4 linked regions of the Canis lupus familiaris genome follow. The protein of the gene in region 3 interacts with the protein of the main gene of each other region in a pairwise test. Links are inferred from orthologs where the notes say so. Each region holds a gene or a part of one and is shown on either strand. Other genes may lie near its edges.

The links.
Region 1: the proteins of ISCU (region 3) and HPRT1 interact in binary tests that used the Homo sapiens proteins (3 or more experiments, as listed by UniProt). The two-hybrid records come from large-scale screens. The link is inferred for Canis lupus familiaris from reciprocal best matches to the Homo sapiens genes ISCU and HPRT1.
Region 2: the proteins of ISCU (region 3) and NECAB2 interact in binary tests that used the Homo sapiens proteins (3 or more experiments, as listed by UniProt). The two-hybrid records come from large-scale screens. The link is inferred for Canis lupus familiaris from reciprocal best matches to the Homo sapiens genes ISCU and NECAB2.
Region 4: the proteins of ISCU (region 3) and NUP62 interact in binary tests that used the Homo sapiens proteins (3 or more experiments, as listed by UniProt). The two-hybrid records come from large-scale screens. The link is inferred for Canis lupus familiaris from reciprocal best matches to the Homo sapiens genes ISCU and NUP62.

Annotation. Positions count from the first base shown.
Region 1 is NC_049260.1:106,044,724-106,048,886, forward strand, and holds the start of HPRT1 (hypoxanthine-guanine phosphoribosyltransferase), read left to right. Parts: upstream 1-1,311; 5' UTR 1,312-1,460; coding exon 1,461-1,487; intron 1,488-4,163. UniProt on the Homo sapiens protein: Converts guanine to guanosine monophosphate, and hypoxanthine to inosine monophosphate. Transfers the 5-phosphoribosyl group from 5-phosphoribosylpyrophosphate onto the purine.
Region 2 is NC_049226.1:68,838,577-68,842,785, reverse strand, and holds the start of NECAB2 (N-terminal EF-hand calcium-binding protein 2), read left to right. Parts: upstream 1-1,392; coding exon 1,393-1,608; intron 1,609-3,853; coding exon 3,854-3,878; intron 3,879-4,209. UniProt on the Homo sapiens protein: May act as a signaling scaffold protein that senses intracellular calcium.
Region 3 is NC_049247.1:18,660,586-18,664,855, reverse strand, and holds the start of ISCU (iron-sulfur cluster assembly enzyme ISCU, mitochondrial), read left to right. Parts: upstream 1-1,455; 5' UTR 1,456-1,503; coding exon 1,504-1,617; intron 1,618-3,008; coding exon 3,009-3,122; intron 3,123-4,011; coding exon 4,012-4,122; intron 4,123-4,270. Other genes in the region: SART3 (squamous cell carcinoma antigen recognized by T-cells 3), read right to left, coding at 1-396.
Region 4 is NC_049222.1:107,311,036-107,315,139, forward strand, and holds the start of NUP62 (nuclear pore glycoprotein p62), read left to right. Parts: upstream 1-1,257; 5' UTR 1,258-1,390; exon of another isoform or gene 1,391-1,608; intron 1,609-4,104. UniProt on the Homo sapiens protein: Essential component of the nuclear pore complex. The N-terminal is probably involved in nucleocytoplasmic transport.

The sequences.
Region 1 (4,163 bases), on a different chromosome or scaffold from region 3:
GGAGCCTGCTTCTCCCTCTGCCTGTGTCTCTGCCTCTCTCTCTCTCTCTGTGACTATCATAAAAAAAAAATTAAAAAAAAATTATCTTCATTTGACATATAAGGAAACTGAGGCACACAGAGGCCGAGGATCCTGCTCAAGGTATAACACTAGCTAGTGGTGAACTCAACTCAGGATTTAAACTCAGATCTCAGTCCAAACCCCACATGTACCTTTTCCATTATAGTCTGTTATCACTCCATGATAGATAGGGGAGGCAGAAAAACTCAGACACTATGGTGTTCCCAGACTCATACACGATAAAATCACAACTGCTATTCTTTCTTGGGCACCTACTACGAGGCAAGTAGTATGCTAGGTGCTTTACATAAGTGATTTTTACAATTCTCACAATAAACCTTCATAGGAAGAATTATTCTCATTTTTTTTATGAAGGCTCAGAGTTCAATGACGCCCAGGTTCACAAATCTCTTACCATCACATATCCTCAGTGGCCCTAATAGAGGACACCTAGCATGCGCTGGGCACTCTGGTGGGTGCCGGAGCTGTAGGAACGGCAGGAATGGAACAACTGTTATTTGCTTACCTGACTTACGTGAGACTAGGGGAGGATCCCCCCTCAACCCGCCCCAATTCCAAACAGGAATTTGTGGAGGCAAAAATAAAGATCAGTAATAGCAACGGTTCCCACTTCCTGATTATGCAATGTCCTAGGTACTGTGCCGTCTACATGCGTATGCGCACACAGATGCCGCGTCTAATCCTCACAACAATCCCGTTAATATCCTCACTTTACTGAGACGAAAAGAGGCTCAGGAAGTCTGATTCGCACAAGGTCACAGAGCAGTAAGGTGTCCCCCGCCGGATGTGTACCCTGATCTGCTCACCCTAGGGCTCCTAGGTCTGAACTCACACACCCTGTTAAAGTTTTTTGGTAGAACTGGGCCACCAGTCGGGCAAACGGAATCCGCAATGCGGTCCAAGGTCTTGGGAAGGAGACGCCGGGCGAGAGGAGCACGTGGTGACTGCAAGCGGAAGAGCCGGAGCCCAGTTTAGCGCACTGGGAAGAAGGCGGCGACAGGTCTGGGAATCCTGGAGCCGGAGGTCCCGCTGGGAGACCCAGGGAAAACGGGACACAGGATGCGCGCTAGGAGTCGCCGCTTCTTCCGGAGGAAAATTCCCACCTCGTGCGCTTGGAAACCCGCAGGCGCCGGCGGAGACTACCGGGCGGCCTGTGGGCGGAGCCGGGGGCGGGGCGGAGCCGGGGGCGGGGCGAGCCGGGGCGGGGCCTGTTAGGCTCGGCTTGGCGGCGGCGGCGGCCTAGAGCGCAACGGCAGAGCAAATCTCTCCGCTTTCCCGCGGGTCGCCGCCTTCTGCAGGAGAACCTCCGCCTCCTCTGCTGCAACGCCGGCTTCCTCCTGTTCAGGCTGCCGTCAGCCCCCGCGCCCGCCGGCTTCGTAATGGCGACCCGCAGCCCCAGCGTCGTGGTGAGCAGTTTGGCCCGCCCGGCCGTGGCGGCGGCTGGCGGCCCCTGAGGCGCGCGGCCCGCAGTGCGGCCGCCGGGGCCCGGGGTGGCCCGGGGAAGCCCGGAGGGGCGGGAGGCGGCCGCTGCGTCCCGGCTCGGGCTTTACGTCACGCAGGGCGGCGTGGGAGACGGATGGCGAGGTGTGGGGTGGGTGCCCCGGGACATGCCCGGCCTGGAGGGCTGCGTGTGGGAGGAGAGGGTGGAAATGGCGTTTTGGTTGACTTGTGCCGCTGGGGAGCGTGCTGCGGGGAGGGGCCCGCGGGCCAGTTTGGGGATGATCTGGCGCGCCGCGCGGGTCGGGGGGGGGGGGTGCGTTTTTTCGGAGAGGCCCTTCTCTAAACTGGGGGTATGCTGCCCAGGCCCTGTGTAGAGGGTCCAGGCATGGAATGACCACATAGGGCACGCAGAGACTGGCATTTGCACCCAGTTCCGCAAATACCATAATGACTGTGCGAATGCGCATTGCCTGGTCGAATCCTCACAGCAACCTTGGTAGCGGTAACCATACCTACCTTTTTGCATACAAGGAAATACTGAGACGATATTAGGTAATTTTCCCACGGCCCAGAGGTATCCAGGTCTCGAAATCAGATAAGCCTCAATCTGGATCCTATGCTCTTTGATCCTACAGGGACAAAAAATGCGAATCTGGTCCTTACCTTCAAGGACATTCATACCATCATCAATCAGCCTCTGGTATCTTGTCTCCAACCTCATTGGTTCTTTTTGTTTCTCGAACAAACCAAGCTGCATCGCACCCCCCACCTTTCCGATCATGCTTGCTAAAATGGCCAACACCCCTGCCAAACAGTTAGATGCCTTCGTCTGCATCGTCATCGTCATCGTCATATTATTTTCACAGTTACCCAATTACCTGTTGATCGTCTCTCATTAATCATAAACTTTATAAGGTCAGGGACCACCACTGTATTCCCAGCACATAGGATGGTGCCTGGCATGTAATAAATTCTCAATAATGGTTTGTTAAATGATTAAATTAAATAATTAATCCTTTAAGCCCTTAAAAAGGAAGGATTCTGTTGATATTAGGCAATGTGGCTTAAGGTAAAGACCAATGCTCTTAATGGAGTTAGGCCTGGAATCCTGCTTGTTTGGGCTATTTACTAGCTGTGTGGCCTTGGGTAACTTACATCACCTTTCTGAGCTAAAGTGTCTTTAATGTATTGCTGAGGTGCTAGCTGCCACTTGGTGTTACTGAAAAGATTGTAAGACTGTCTGCAGTCTGAACAACCTTTCCATGGTCCTTGACTGGGAATAGTAATAGTAGCTATCATTGTGTTTACCGATATAGTCCTATTTAGTCCTCAAAACAACCCTGTAACAATAGCATGATGATTTTTTCCAGTTTTATTTATTTATTAGAGAGGGGAGGTGGGGAGAGAGCCTCAAGCAGATTCCCTGATAAGCAGGGAGCCTAATGCTGCTGGATCCAGGACTCTTGAGATGAATTAGCATGATTATGACCATTTTACAGAGGAGGAATCTTTGAAGCCTCGGAGAGGGTAATTTAACCTCTCACTATACCCACATGGCACATTTATAAAGAGGAACTCAGACTCAAACCTAGGTCTCTCTCAAGAGCCTATGCTTAAAATGGTACACTAATAGTGGGTGCTCAAAAAATGGTGGGCGCTGTTGTTTTTATTCAGTTGCTGAGGAAGTTAGATACTTTTAACTTTGGGGTATAATGCCTGCCCCAGCACACAGTGAATTATTTTTGTTAGAACTACTAGTTTTGTTTCAACATTAAGATCTTCATTGTGTTTTTGGTTTGCAAATTCCTGTTCCTTTTTTTATTTCCTTCCCAGAAATTCTCTGCATGTTAGTAATAACAAACACTCATATAGTGTTTACTATGTGCTGGTTTCTTTTCTAAGCCCTTTAGGTATAATTAACTGGTTTGATATTTTTAATTTATTTTTGATTTTTCAATGATTTTTAAATAATTAAAAAAAAAGATTTCATTTATTTGACCGAGAACAAGCTAGCACAAGCAGGGGGAGTGGCAGGGAGAGGGAGAAGCAGGAGCAGGCTCCCTGCTGAGCAGGGAGCCAGACATGGGGCTCTATCCCCAGACCCTGGGATCATGACCTGAGGCAAAGGCAAATGCTTAACCGACTTAGCCACTTAGGTGCCCTGGTTTGATATTTTTACTTATTTATTTGACAGAGAATGAGAGAGCACAAGAAGGGGAAGCAGCAGGTAGAGGGAGAGGAAGAAGCAGGCAACCTGCTCAGGGAGCTTCAGCTCATGACCTGAGCTGAAGGCAGATGCTTAACCAACTGAGCAGGCACCCCATGGTTTGATATTTTTAAATTTAAAAAGAAATTTATGTGGCTCAGAGAGAGTAAGTAACTTACCCAAGATCACCCAGCAATGCTAGGATTTGAATCTAAGTTATCTGGCCTGAATCTGCTCTTAACCTCTCCATTTTTAAGTTAGTAGTAACAATAGTAGGTATTTATTTAGTATTTACTATGTCTTAGGCATTGAAGTAAGTATTTTGCAGATATTACCTAGTGTAAACGTCCCAGAGTTACAAAATAGGTTTGCTATGAGGTAGGTAAACACTAGCATGACCTTGGAAGCACAGATGGTGAAGTGACTTGCCTGACAT
Region 2 (4,209 bases), on a different chromosome or scaffold from region 3:
GGGCCTCTTGGATGAAGAGGAGTGGGGAGCCCAGGCTGCCGGGACTCAGACTAGTACCAGGGTGGGAACAGATGCTGCAGGCCAGGGGGGGCAGTGATTTAGGGTGAAAGCTGCTGGTAAGAGCTGGGGTCACCAGGGCCAGCTGAGCCAAGAGGACTCCAGGCTCTACTGCTTCCAGAATCAGGTTCCAATTAAACCCAGTACCTGCCTCCACTCCCGTGTCTGAGGATTCTGTGTGTGGGGAGGGGGCTGGGTGCCCCGGGAAGCACAGGGCCATGTGGGAGGTCCTTGGGATGGGGAGTTTTGTGATAAGGGATGGTGTCCAAGTCTGGGTACAGCTGTGTTAGGGACGTGAGGGGAGGGTGTGTGGGGGGAAGGGTATGCTGGGGGGGCCTTCACAGCCCTGCCCACCCCTCCAGCCTGGCCCCTGACTGTCTCCCACGCTCCCTCCTGGTCTCACTGTCTCTTCAGTCCTTCATGCTCCCTCAGCTCGCGCCGGCCACAGGGCCTTTGCAGGGGCGGGTCTCCCACCCAGGACACTTTACTCTTCTCTCTAACTCCTCTTCCATTGCGGTCACCTAAGGGCCACTTCCTCCAGGCAGCCTCCTCCGTCACCAGGGCAGTCCCGTTGGTGGCCCAAGGTTCCCGGGCGTTCAGAAGTAATAGTTCGTTTGTCTACGGAATCGCTCCCGCAGCCGACTCTGCCCACTTGGACGTAGGTTCCAGGAGGCCGAGGACAGCCACCCCCGCCCCCCCGCAGTCCCATTAGTGGAACCCAGCACCTGGCACGGGCCCTCACTCATCCTTTGGACAGGTGGATGGTGGTGGGTGGGGCGTGAGGGGAAGAGGGTGCTGGGGCGCCGGCCGGGCGCTCGGCTGCGGCAGGGTTGGGGGGCTCGCAGGCCCCGGGCGGGCGGGCGGGCGGGCGGGGGAGGCCGAGCGCGGGGGCGCCGGTTCCTGGAGCTGCCGCCAGCAGGGGGCGCCCCGGGCTCGCCGGACACCTGCGCTCCGGCCCCTGCGTCGGCGCCGCGGGGGGGCCTCGGGGGCTCCGGGAGGGGGCGGCCCCGGGCGAGGCCCGCCCGCGCAGCCCGACGCCCCGACCCCAGGCCTCCCGGGCGCCCCTTCCGTGCGCGGGCTGGGTCCGGGCCCGCAGCGCCCCCCGCGGTTGGCCCCTGCCGCGGCGCCGGGGCGGGGCGGGGCGGGGCGGGGCGGGGGACGCGGGCACGTGGCCGGGGTCCGGGCGAGCGCCCCCCCCGCGGTGGCCGCGGCCGCGGGGCCGAGGGAGGCGGGGCGGGGCGGCGGGGCGGGGAGGGGGCGCGCGGGGGCGGGCCGCGGGCCGGGCGGGGGTCGGCGGGCTTCCGGGCGGCGCGGGCGGGCGGGCGGGCGGGCGCGATGTGCGAGCGGGCGGCGCGCCTGTGCAGGGCCGGCGCGCACAGGCTGCTCCGGGAGCCGCCGCCGCAGGGCCGGGCGCTGGGCGGGCTGCTGCGCTGGGTGGGCGCCAGGATGGGCGAGCCCCGGGCGCCGCTCGCCCCCGCCGCCCCCGCCGCCCCCGGCCCCGCCGCCCCCGGCCCCGGCTCCCCGCGCGGGGGCACCGCGGTCATCCTGGACGTGAGTACGCGCCGGCGGCCCCCGGACCCCGCGCCCGCCCCGCGCCCCCGCCCCGCGCCCCCGCCCCGCGCCCCCGACCCGCGACCCCGCGCCCGCACGCCCCTCCCCTGCCCCCACGCCCCTCCCGCCCCGGCTCGGGATCCCCACCTGCCTGCTCCGAGCCGCGACCCTTCGACCCGGCCACCGCCCCCCTCCCTCGGTCCCGGCTGCGCCCTCGCCCCACCCTCCCCCTCCCGCCCCTGCCGCCTCCCGCCCCCTCCTCTCCACCCCGCCCCAGTCACTACTTCTCCGAGACCCCCTCCCGCCCGGCCCCAGGCTCCGGTGCCCCGACCCATCCTGGCCGCGGACCCGGAGCCCGCGTGTTCCCGCCCCAAAGCCCCCTCCCCGCAGCCAGCAGCTCTTGGAAAGCGAAGCCCCCTCCTGTCCCCCCTCTCAGCGGATCGGGGCCACCCCCGTCTGCGGAGCCTGGACCCTCCAGCCTGAGCCGCGTCAGCCCTTCAGCCCTTCACGCCCGGGGTGGCTCAACCCCCACCCATCCGCCCGGGAGCCGAGCCACCCCCCTCTGGGAAGCCCACCTCCCCCCGCTCCCCCGCCCTCTCCCCAGGAGTGGGAGGAAGCTTCTGCAGGGCGGACCGCTGGGGGAGGGGGCGTCGGGGAGGGCGAGGCGGTGGGGGCCCTGCCCCGGGCACCACCCCACCTCCCGACAGCCTGGCCGCGGCCACAGGACGTGCTTGTCCCGGGGAGGGTCCTGGGCTCCTGGGGCTTCTGGGACAGTTGTGTCTGCAGGTCTGATTGTTAGGGGGAGCGTGGATCTCCTCTCCCCCTTCCTTCCTCTCTCCTGGAACCCACAGTTGGCCCTGGGCAGAGAGGGCTGGGCAGGGAAGGGGGAGCTGGGCGGTGGGGTGCTGGAGGCTGCCCCCAGAGACATGCAGGCACGCGCACACGCACACACACTCTTGCACAGCCAGATCCTCTCTCAGGTCCCCCACAGAGTTCGTGCGGGGAAAACCGGGGCCACCCTTGCAGGGAAGCCCTGTCCAGACCCTTCCCGTTCCCAGCAGTGCGGGCAGGAGGCTCGGGGTCCTCCTGGTGCGGGTGCGGGTGCGCTCCGAGACTCCTCTATCTAGGAGATGGAGCGATGAGTGGGGGTGGGGAGCGGACTCCTGGAGCCACCTTAGGTGGTCTGCACCATTCACTTGCTTGGCGTGGCCAGTGTGGGCACCTGCGGGGGGGACCCCAGCCCCAGAGAACTTTGCAGTGGGGAGCTGGGGTGTGGAGTGCCCAGGCGGGCAATGGGTGCTCTGCTAGTCTCCCTTCTGCCCCAGCCACGGCAGCTCCTGCTCGAGCACCCCCAGCTAGGGTTTCAGCTGAGGGAAGAGGGGGGTGATGTGTAGGAAGCCCTTTCTGAGCTGCTGCTTCAGTTTGTCACAGTCTCGAGTACTTGAAGGGATGGGGGGGACATCTGTCCTTGGCCCCAGGGCAAGCACCAAAGGTCAGATGGTCAGAGGGGTTAGTGCCTCCCCCTGCTCCTTCTGTTCACCTGTGGCTCACCTTCTTCTAAAAATACCAGGAGGACTTATCTGGTCTCAGCTCAGGTTTGGGGGGGGTGGCTGTCACTCCCCCATCCCTCCCCCACCCCCTCCCCATGCAGCCAGAACCTGGCACCTGCAGCTGGCTTTCTGAGCTCTTCACGGCCTGCTTCCACCCACTCCCCCACCTGAAAAATAATCCAGTGCTGCCCCTGGCTGGCCCAGTTGCCAGGCCTGGAGGTTCCCTTAGCAGACCTCTCTGTTGACACTAAACCAACCTCCGTGGGGGGAAATCGGGGCTCCCACGGGCTTCCGAGAGGGGTGCAGCGGTATGAGGCGTGTGGTTGTGTCCGTGGGACACAGATTCCCATTGTGTGACTGAGCGTAGCACAGTGGGTGAGGCCGCGTGGACTGCTGGCTCTGCAAGCACACCCGCAAGCATGTGGATCGGTGTGAGCGTGTGTGTCCACGTGTGTGTGCGCATGTCGGCACAGAAGAAGAGTGGGTGCTGCTTCCTCGCAGGCGCCTGGGAAGGCTGTGCCTGAAGCATCCCTCCTGCCCTGGATCCCAGCGGGGGCCTCCTGGGGGAGGGGCTGCTCAGCTTCCCAGGTCCCCCTGCACCACCCCCAGGCGTGGGATCTCAAGATGAGTTGGGAGTCACTGGAGGGCGCCTGCCCCTCTGGGGCCCAGGCTGACTCCACTTCTCTTCTCTGCAGATTTTCCGCCGGGCGGACAAAAATGGTGAGTTTCCCTCCCAGGCTGTCCCCTGAACAAGGTCCTGGCTCTTTCTATCCTCACGCTTCGGGGGCAGGGACCCGGGCTTGGGACATGGACCGCCTTGTACGTGATGGTTTCTGAAGTCAAGAAAGCCGAATCCTGGCTCTGCCCTGTGCCTCAGTTTCCCTGTCTCACAGTGGAATTACACATAGTTCCTGCTTGGTAGGGATGCCACAGGGATTCAAGGAGTTGGTGTCTGTGATGCCAGGATGTCTTGCACATAGTAGGTGCTTGGTGTACTTCAGCCCTCATGCCGCTGGGCTGGAGCAGCCCGGGTAGGGGGTGCCTAGGGAGC
Region 3 (4,270 bases):
AGGCTCCGCTTCGGAAGCCGAAGCTGCGGCCGCCGTCGCCATCTTGCGCTTCCAGTGACTCCCGGGTCTTCTCGCGGCCGCCGAAGACCCGCTGAAGTAGAGGCTGCCCGCGGCGGGCGCCTGACCAAAATTCCGCTCTCCCGGCCACCGAAAGGGAAACCGTGAACCTCGAGTGACGGGAAAACCTCGGAATGCATGGAATTTCGTGTTGCTTTCACATGGGTGTAAAGGTGCTCGCAGAGAAAAAGCTCCCCAACACGGCATGTGTTCCGTTGCAACTTCGGGCAGAAGTTGGGTCTTTGCACCGGAAGTGGGGGCCGTAGAGGAAGTCGCGGGGCGATGATTGAAGTCAACGGTTTGGCGCCATCTTGAGAAGGTCAAAAGGAATCTTGGCATAAACGCCCGTCTTCCCGCCTAACCCGACCCGGAGCTTGGTTCAGCGTCCCCAGCATCTGAGCCTCAAACGAGGAAAAAAGCCTCCAAGTCTTCAGGGAAGGATCGATCACACCCCTCACGAGAAAACCCGTTTCCCAAAGAGATTCCTCCCCTTTACGTAATACCTGGTGCCTAAGTAAGCATTAAATACACGTGTGAGGTTTCTGGTCTTATAGGATCCTATTCTGCAAACCGGTATTAATAAATTTCATGACTAAGCGTTTCTTTGGAAACCCTTCATTTCCAGGCATTGTCACCTAAGTAGGTCAGTTTGCTGCCTTATGAGAAGAGAAATAGATGCAGGCATATACATATACAATCAGGGTATGGCGTGTTCGTTTCCTCAATTAAGCTCCATTTTTGAGGTAGGAAAATACTGTTTGCTCGTTGCATTTCTCCCTCGTTAGTGAGGTTCATTATGTCGGGAACTCATGTGTTTTTCTTTTTCTTGCATGCCCGAAGCCTAGTACAGCGCCTTGACACACGGTAGGTAGGTACTCAAGTCGTACTTGCTCAATGCATGAATTGTCCTTGAATTAGTACAAAAGCGGGGATCGAAGCTTGAAGAGATGATGTCATAAGCCTAGGGCCACGCAGTGGAGAAGGTGCAGAATCAGGATTTTTAACCCAGGATTGCCCTTCTTTGAATCCCAACGGAGTCTGTCTGGGCAACCTTGGACAAGTTACTAAACCGGTCTGACCCTCAACTTCCCAAGCTGCACATGAGGTTCAAAGTAGACTGGCTGATCCGCCGCGCCGGACGCTGGCGACAGGGCTCCGCGAACACAGACCTGGGCCCCCACGCCCGCCGGCGGACACCGCCGCCCCACGCCGGGTCGACAACGCCGCACTCGCGAGCCCTCCAGCTTCAGGCTTTTAGTTCGGCGTCCCGCCCACCCCGGGGGCGTGGTCCAGACGCGGCCAGAGGCGGACACGTGCACCGAGCGCGAGGACGCAGGCGCGAAGTCGCGGTGACGTAACGGGCGCGCGCTCCAAGCCGGAGCCGACTCGCGGGCGCGCTCCCCCCCTCCGCCTCGCACTCGGCCTGCGCAGGCGCAAGCCCGGAAGATGGCGGCGGCTGGGGCTGGCCGTCTGAGGCGGGCGGCGTCGGCCTTGCTGCTCCGGAGCCCGCGCCTGCCTGCCCGGGAACTGTCGGCTCCCGCCCGGCTCTACCACAAGAAGGTAGGGACGGCTGACGGGATGCGCGAGGCCCGCGATGGCAGTGGGGCGGGAGGGCGAGGACCGCCGAGGGGGCCCGGGGACGCCGGCGCTCCGCGGAGGCCCGGCCTGAGGAGGCGCGGCCGCGGGGGCCTCCTCCTGCGGCCGGGCTACGGGCCTCCCTCTCGCGAGACTCGGACCGGACGAGGCTTCCCTCGCTGCGCCGTGACTGCCCGCGCCGCGGCCGGCGGGCGGCGCCCCGGGGAGGGCGACCCTCTGGGACCCGCCACCGACGCCCCCCGGCGCGGGCTGCGGCTTCAGCGGGGGCCGCCGCTACCCGGATGGCCTCGGGCAAGTCCGTGCCCTGCGTCGGGCCTGTTTTCCCCGTCGGTAAAATGGGGACTCAGGCAGCAGCCCCCTCAACGGGAGCCCGCCCGGTGGAAATCACTTAGGGTGCAGTTACTGGTGGAGGAGTTCGTAGGATGCATAATCAGCAGGCATAAGGTTCTAAATTCTTTTTTTTTTTTATTTTTTTCTGGCGGGGGGCGTCGGGGAGTGGAGGTAGGTGCGTAGTTCGCAGCCCTGGCCTTCCGAGGCCGTCGAGTCCCCTAGACCTGAAACGTCCCCGCTCGGGAAACGACTAAGGAACGCGGTGAATCCGCGTGAGGCCGACAGTCCGGACGGGGTCCTGTCCTACAGGTCCTCGCGCTTGGAGTCGAAATCCGTGGTCAGATGGGAAAAGAGACGGGAAGATGGGGTCACTTAGGGCCGCTGGGACACAAGCTCCGAGGCTCCCTTAAAGCCTTTGCGTGCCGTGCGGGTCAGCTGTGCCGGTCGCGGCTTCGGCGGGACCCCGCCCCTCCCCTACCGGGGGGTGTGTTCTGTTGACGGTACACGCGCTCCACGCCCGGGCGCTGCGAGCCTCGCAGCCTGCAGGGCGCGCTGCTCCCCCCGACGGATGGCCCGGCCCTGAAGCTGGCGGGAGGACGGGTCTCGTTGTAGCCTAACAAATAGACACCTTCCGTAGCACTGCTCCTCGTGTGACGTTCTCCTCGAGGCTTCTGGGAAGCCCTTTGATTGCTGGACCGTACTTATTTTTTGGATCCCAAATCTGGTGACTTAGGCGGTGAAGATCAGGTAATTATTTGTGACTAAAAACCCTATGGAGTTAAGGCATGATTTTTGCCGATTTTTTTCTCCAGGAACTCCTTATCTCTGAAGGTAACTGGAGAAGAGGTACGAAAAAGATTGGTTCATAAAGTCTCATTGACAGGAGCGTAAGCCTTCCTCCCCAGGTGACATTTGCTATTTAGGGACAGCCTGACAGGTTCAGCCTGCTGACTTAACATCGAGTTGGGGAGACCCGTAACAAAAAAAAGAGGGATGGTGCATTTCTCTTAACCTTCTCGTTGCAGGTTGTTGATCATTATGAAAATCCTAGAAACGTGGGGTCCCTTGACAAGACATCAAAAAATGTTGGAACTGGATTGGTGGGGGCTCCAGCATGTGGTGACGTAATGAAATTGCAGGTACCGCTGGTTTTCATCCTTAGTGGTAATGACAGCAATCCCTTTGCTCACACAGTGCTTCGCTGTTGACAAAGCATTTGCAAGCACAGCTCTCCATTTGGTCTCTGTCTGGATTCCTGTGAGATGGTGGGATGGGTCAATGTTATTGATTATTAGGGTAGGGACTAAATCTTAGTTCTCCTTTCCCGCACACTGTGCTGACCCTTTAGGTGTCACTTTTCTACTCTATCAGTTTAAATTCCAACTCCAGCTAAGAAGAAAGTTTTGTGAATTTTACTGGTGAAAGGAAAACCACAACCATTCAGTTAGCAGTCCCCAGTGAGACAGGAAATACCACATATCAAGCTCCCCCCCCCAAAGTGGAAACAACACAAAGATAGTAACTGGCACTTTGAGTAAACCTGTACCTTTGTCCACATCTTCATCATGGTGAGGGGACAGCTTGCTGGAGGTCTTCATGCCTGCCTTGGAAAACAGAAGGCAGGAGGGAACCACTAGATGTCATTTCATGCCAGACTATAAAGCACTCACCAGAGACGGTTATTGCAGACTCCCCCCAGTGTGTAAAGATGCAGACGGAATGAGTAGCCAGGAGCAGAACTTCATAGCCAAAAAGCAGACTAGGGTTGCAAAACAAAAAAATGGGTAGGGGCATATTTTTTGTCTTATCTTTACCAGATTAGGCCTGTATCATTTTGGTGATCGTTCCTACATTTGATTCTTCATCACTGAGCCCTTTTGACAAAGCAAATTCAGTAATTAATGTCAAAACTTAAGGTGTGGAAAGCAAGACCAAAGCCCTTGAGGAGAGCCCCCAGTGAACCCCCGTAAATGCAGGATCTATGAGGTGGCATCAGGAACCACTGCTTAACACCTGTCTTTTTTCTAGATTCAAGTGGATGAAAAGGGGAAGATTGTGGATGCCAGGTTTAAAACATTTGGCTGTGGGTCTGCAATTGCCTCCAGCTCTTTAGCCACTGAATGGGTAAAAGGCAAGACGGTAAGGTTGCTTGTAGATGGACAGAATTAAATCATATTCTCAACAAACCTGCCTCTGAGTTAAGGGAGGGTCTAGTTATGGGGGGGCGGCAGGTTTTTGTTTTTGTTTATAAAATATTCTAAGTTTTTTTTTTAATTTCTCCTACTTC
Region 4 (4,104 bases), on a different chromosome or scaffold from region 3:
CGCCGCCTTCAGCCCAGGGCCTGATCCTGGAGACTCGGGATCAAGTCCCACGTCGGGCTCCCTGCATGGGGCCTGCTTCTCCTTCTGCCTGTGTCTCTGCCTCTCTCTCTCTCCTCTCTGTGTATTCTTATGAATAAATAAATAAAATCTTTTAAAAAAAATTTCAATCCCAGGAGAATTTTCTTCCAGCCACACCCCTTCCTCTAAAGTATTTCCTTTAGGCTCCATCCCATCTAAACACTCGGCTCAAAAATCAGCTCCCAGGGATCCCTGGGTGGCGCAGCGGTTTAGCGCCTGCCTTTGGCCCAGGGCGCGATCCTGGAGACCCGGGATCGAATCCCACGTCGGGCTCCTGGTGCATGGAGCCTGCTTCTCCCTCTGCCTGTGTTTCTGCCTCTCTCTGTGTGACTATCATAAATAAAAATTAAAAAAAAAAAAATCAGCTCCCAGGGGAATTCCCCCAGCCCTGCCCCTCCAAACCGTGGTCTACTAAGTCCCACGGCTTCTTTTTAGCTTCGCGGTGACCGCCCCAGTCCCTTCCCGTCCAATTACCTTAGCCCCCCACTTCATTCCCGGGGATACCCCAGAGGCCCCGCCTTCTCTCCGTTGAAACCCCACCCCAGGTAAATTTGCTTAACCACGCCCCTTCTCACGATAGACCCCCGCCCACCCGTCGCAGCCGCTGATCCTAGCTCCACCCCCCTCCTTACAGGTGGCCTCTAAGCCTCGCCTTCCGCCCTGTCAATCTGAGTCAGCCCCACCCAACCCCGCCCCAGCAGGTGCCCGAATGAAACATAAATTGTGTTGTGCGCATGAGCAAGGTGGAGCTCGGAGACGGGAGCCGGCCGGCGGAGCCACACGCCTCTCTCGCAGGGCTAAAGCGCATGCTCTGCCACTGATCCAATTGTTCTCTCAGGCCTGCGGGGTTGGGGAGTCAGTGCGCATGTGCAGCTGCTTACTGCCCGCCCTTCACTCAAAAAATACGGAGTCTGGTGGGCTTGTGCACGTGAGCAACCGCTCGCGGACAGACTCATTCGGGGAGCGGGGGGCGACCCCCGCTCGGGGCTAGTGCGCAGGCGCACTGCGTGCAGGCCATCTTTAAACTCCAGCATTCTAGGGAAGAACGTACCCTTCCCCCACTGGACCGAATGCGCATGCTCGGCCGCGTGCCAACGACGCGTTTCCCTCTTCTGCGCCTGCGCGACCGTGATTCCTCACTCTCGTCTCCCCACCCCCCAGGCCTGGTCGTGAAGGCCGCGAGCTTCGAAAGGGCGGGAAAGGCGGTTGGAGAGGGAGGGGCGAGCGGTTACTCACTCCATGGCTACGGAAAGGAGAGGCGGCGGCAGCCTCAGCTGAAGAAAAGAAGGCGGTAGAGAAGAGCGCAAGCGCGGTGAGCGCGGAAACGGGCCGGGACACGGAGGGGTCGCGGCTACAGAGCCATAGCCGGGGTTGGGCGGGCGGAGATGGCGTCTCGGTAGCCTGAGAGGAGATTGTGATCTGTGGATGGGGAATGAGGCGGCCCCGGGGAGTGGGGACAGATATACAGGGGATGGCGCAGCACGGCCTCCCCGGATCCATCCGCGCCCCGCCCCGCCAGGCCCCAACCGGGAGGCGGGCCTGGCCTCTCCTCTCGGGAATCCTGGAATCCACTCCCCTCCTCCTCCCGACGCGGAGTTAGGCCTTTTCCTTCCTCTGACCCGGGGACCAGCTCCGTCTTCCTACCCCAGGGGTTCCGGCCCCCGTCCTCCTTCCAACTCTGGGGTCCTGTTCTCTGTCTCTCTGACTCAGGTCCCCTCCCCCCCAATTCTAGGGATTCGATCCCTCGCCTTCTCTGAGACCTGCCCTAGTTCACTTTTGGTTTCTTTTGCCCTAGTTCTCGAATTTCCGGCCAGCCACATGCTGGACTCCTATCCCCAAACTGCCGCCCCACGCTAAGAACCCTTTTTGTGGGTTAGACTCTTGTCTGAGTCACAATGAGACCGCGCGCGCCGTTCAAATCTCAGACCTGCGATGGTGGCCAAATAATCAAGTTCTCTAGTCTCGTAGATCGAGAACTGCCTGTAAAATGAAGAAAATAATCAACTCTGCCTGATGAGAATCAAGTCGATGCCTGTGAAACCCAGAGCCCGGCTCTTAATTGCCTATTTAATGTATCTTATTTTTAATAGGAACTCTGGGGTTGAGTCTCAACCATACCTCCTGCCCTGGCAAGATCCCCAGACATTTGACCATACAATAGCTGCTAGTAGGTCATTCTTGTGTCTTCTTCACTTCTTCAAGGTGTCAGTAATTGCCAGACATCCCCACCTTTCCCTGTTCCAGATGATGGACGCTCACCCGCAACACCAGCACAGTTGCAGAGAAGCAGGCATCATCACCCTGACTGTAGCTTTTCTCCATCCTCTGCCCACCTCCCATCAGCCCTTATCCTTAGCCCTCCTTTCAGGCCAGTTGGTTCTGCTTCAGCTGCCCCCCACTGGATCAGTTTACCAACCCTGCCCCAAAATAGGGAGATCTGCACTGCCCTTTGCTAAAAGAGAGGGGGCTTCCTGGCCATTCCCTCCTATGCACTAGACCCTCCACTGGCCCAAGTGGGTATGGGTCTTTACTTCCCACCTTGCATCTGTCCACAGCAGGACACCTAGAGTTCAACTTAACATCACGGGTGGTGGTTCTGAGGTCCAGAGAAGGTGGGGGAACTCTGATCTTGAGACTTATTTGGGAATGAAGATAGCAGGCTTCAGTTGCATGCAGGAAGTCCTTCTTGGGATCTGACCACTTTCACTTAGAGCACTTACTGTGTACTGTGCCAGTATTTGAAGATTTGACCTATAGGGGCTAGGTTATTACCTAGGCAGCATGAGTAGCAGTTAAGTGCAGACTCTGGCGCCCAGTTTTGGGTTCAGACCTTGTCTCTACTCCACTTATTAGCTTACTGTCAATTTCTTTTTTTCCCTGTGCCTCGGTTTCCACTACGTTCAAATCTCAGACCTGTGATGGTGGCTACATTATTTTATCGCTACGTTTCTATTAACTCCATATAGAAACTTAGCGATACATGTGGCAGCTAACAGTGCTTACTTCTGGGGTGCCTGGCTGGCTCAGGCGTGTGACTCTTGATCTTCAGGTTGTGAGTTTGAGCCCCACATCAGAAGTAGAGTTTACTTAAAGAAATAGTGCCAGGCAGCCTGGGTGGCTCAGCGGTTTAGCGCCACCTTCAGCTCAGGGCCTGCCTGTTCCTGGAGACCTGGGATCGAGTCCCACATTGGGCTCCCAGCATATGGAGCCTGCTTCTCCCTCTGCGTGTGTCTCTGCCTTTCCCGGTGTCTCTCATGAATGGATAAATAAAATCTTAAATAATAATAATAATAATAATAAGTAGTGCCTACTTAGTACTGTCACAAGGATTCAATGAGTTAATTCATAATTCAGGTCAAGCATTTAGATTAGTCCTCCTTTCTGCCCCCCCAAATCTTAAGTCTTCTAAAAACATCTAGTATGTACACATGGACTAGGCAATTTAAGTAAATTTTTATTTTAGAATAATTTTATTTTTGGGCAGCTCCAGTGCCCCAGCGGTTTAGCACTGCCTTCAGCCCGAGGTGTGATCCTGGAGACCCAGGATCGAGACCCACGTCGGGCTTCCTGCATGGAGCCTGCTTCTCCCTCTGCCTGTGTCTCTTCCTCTGTGTGTGTGTGTGTTGGTCATGAATAAATAAATTAAAAATCTTTAAAAAAAATTTTTTTTTATTTTTACAGAAAAGTTACAAACATAGTGCGGAGAGTTTCCATATACCCCACATCCATTTTCCCTGTTGTTGACCTCTTTAACATTTCTGTGATATATTTGTCACAACTAAAGAACCCACGTCGGTATGGGATTTTAAAGTGCACACCTCATTTTGATATTCTGATTTCACTAGTTGTTTTTGTTTTTGTAGATATTTACTTTAGAGAGCACAGGCAGGGGGAACAGCAGAGGGAGAAGCAGGCTCCCCACTGAGCAAGGAGCCCTACCCAGGGCTTGATTCCAGGACCTTGGGATCATGACCTGAGCAGAAGGCAGATGCTTAACCAACTGAGCCACCCAGGCACCCCTCGCTA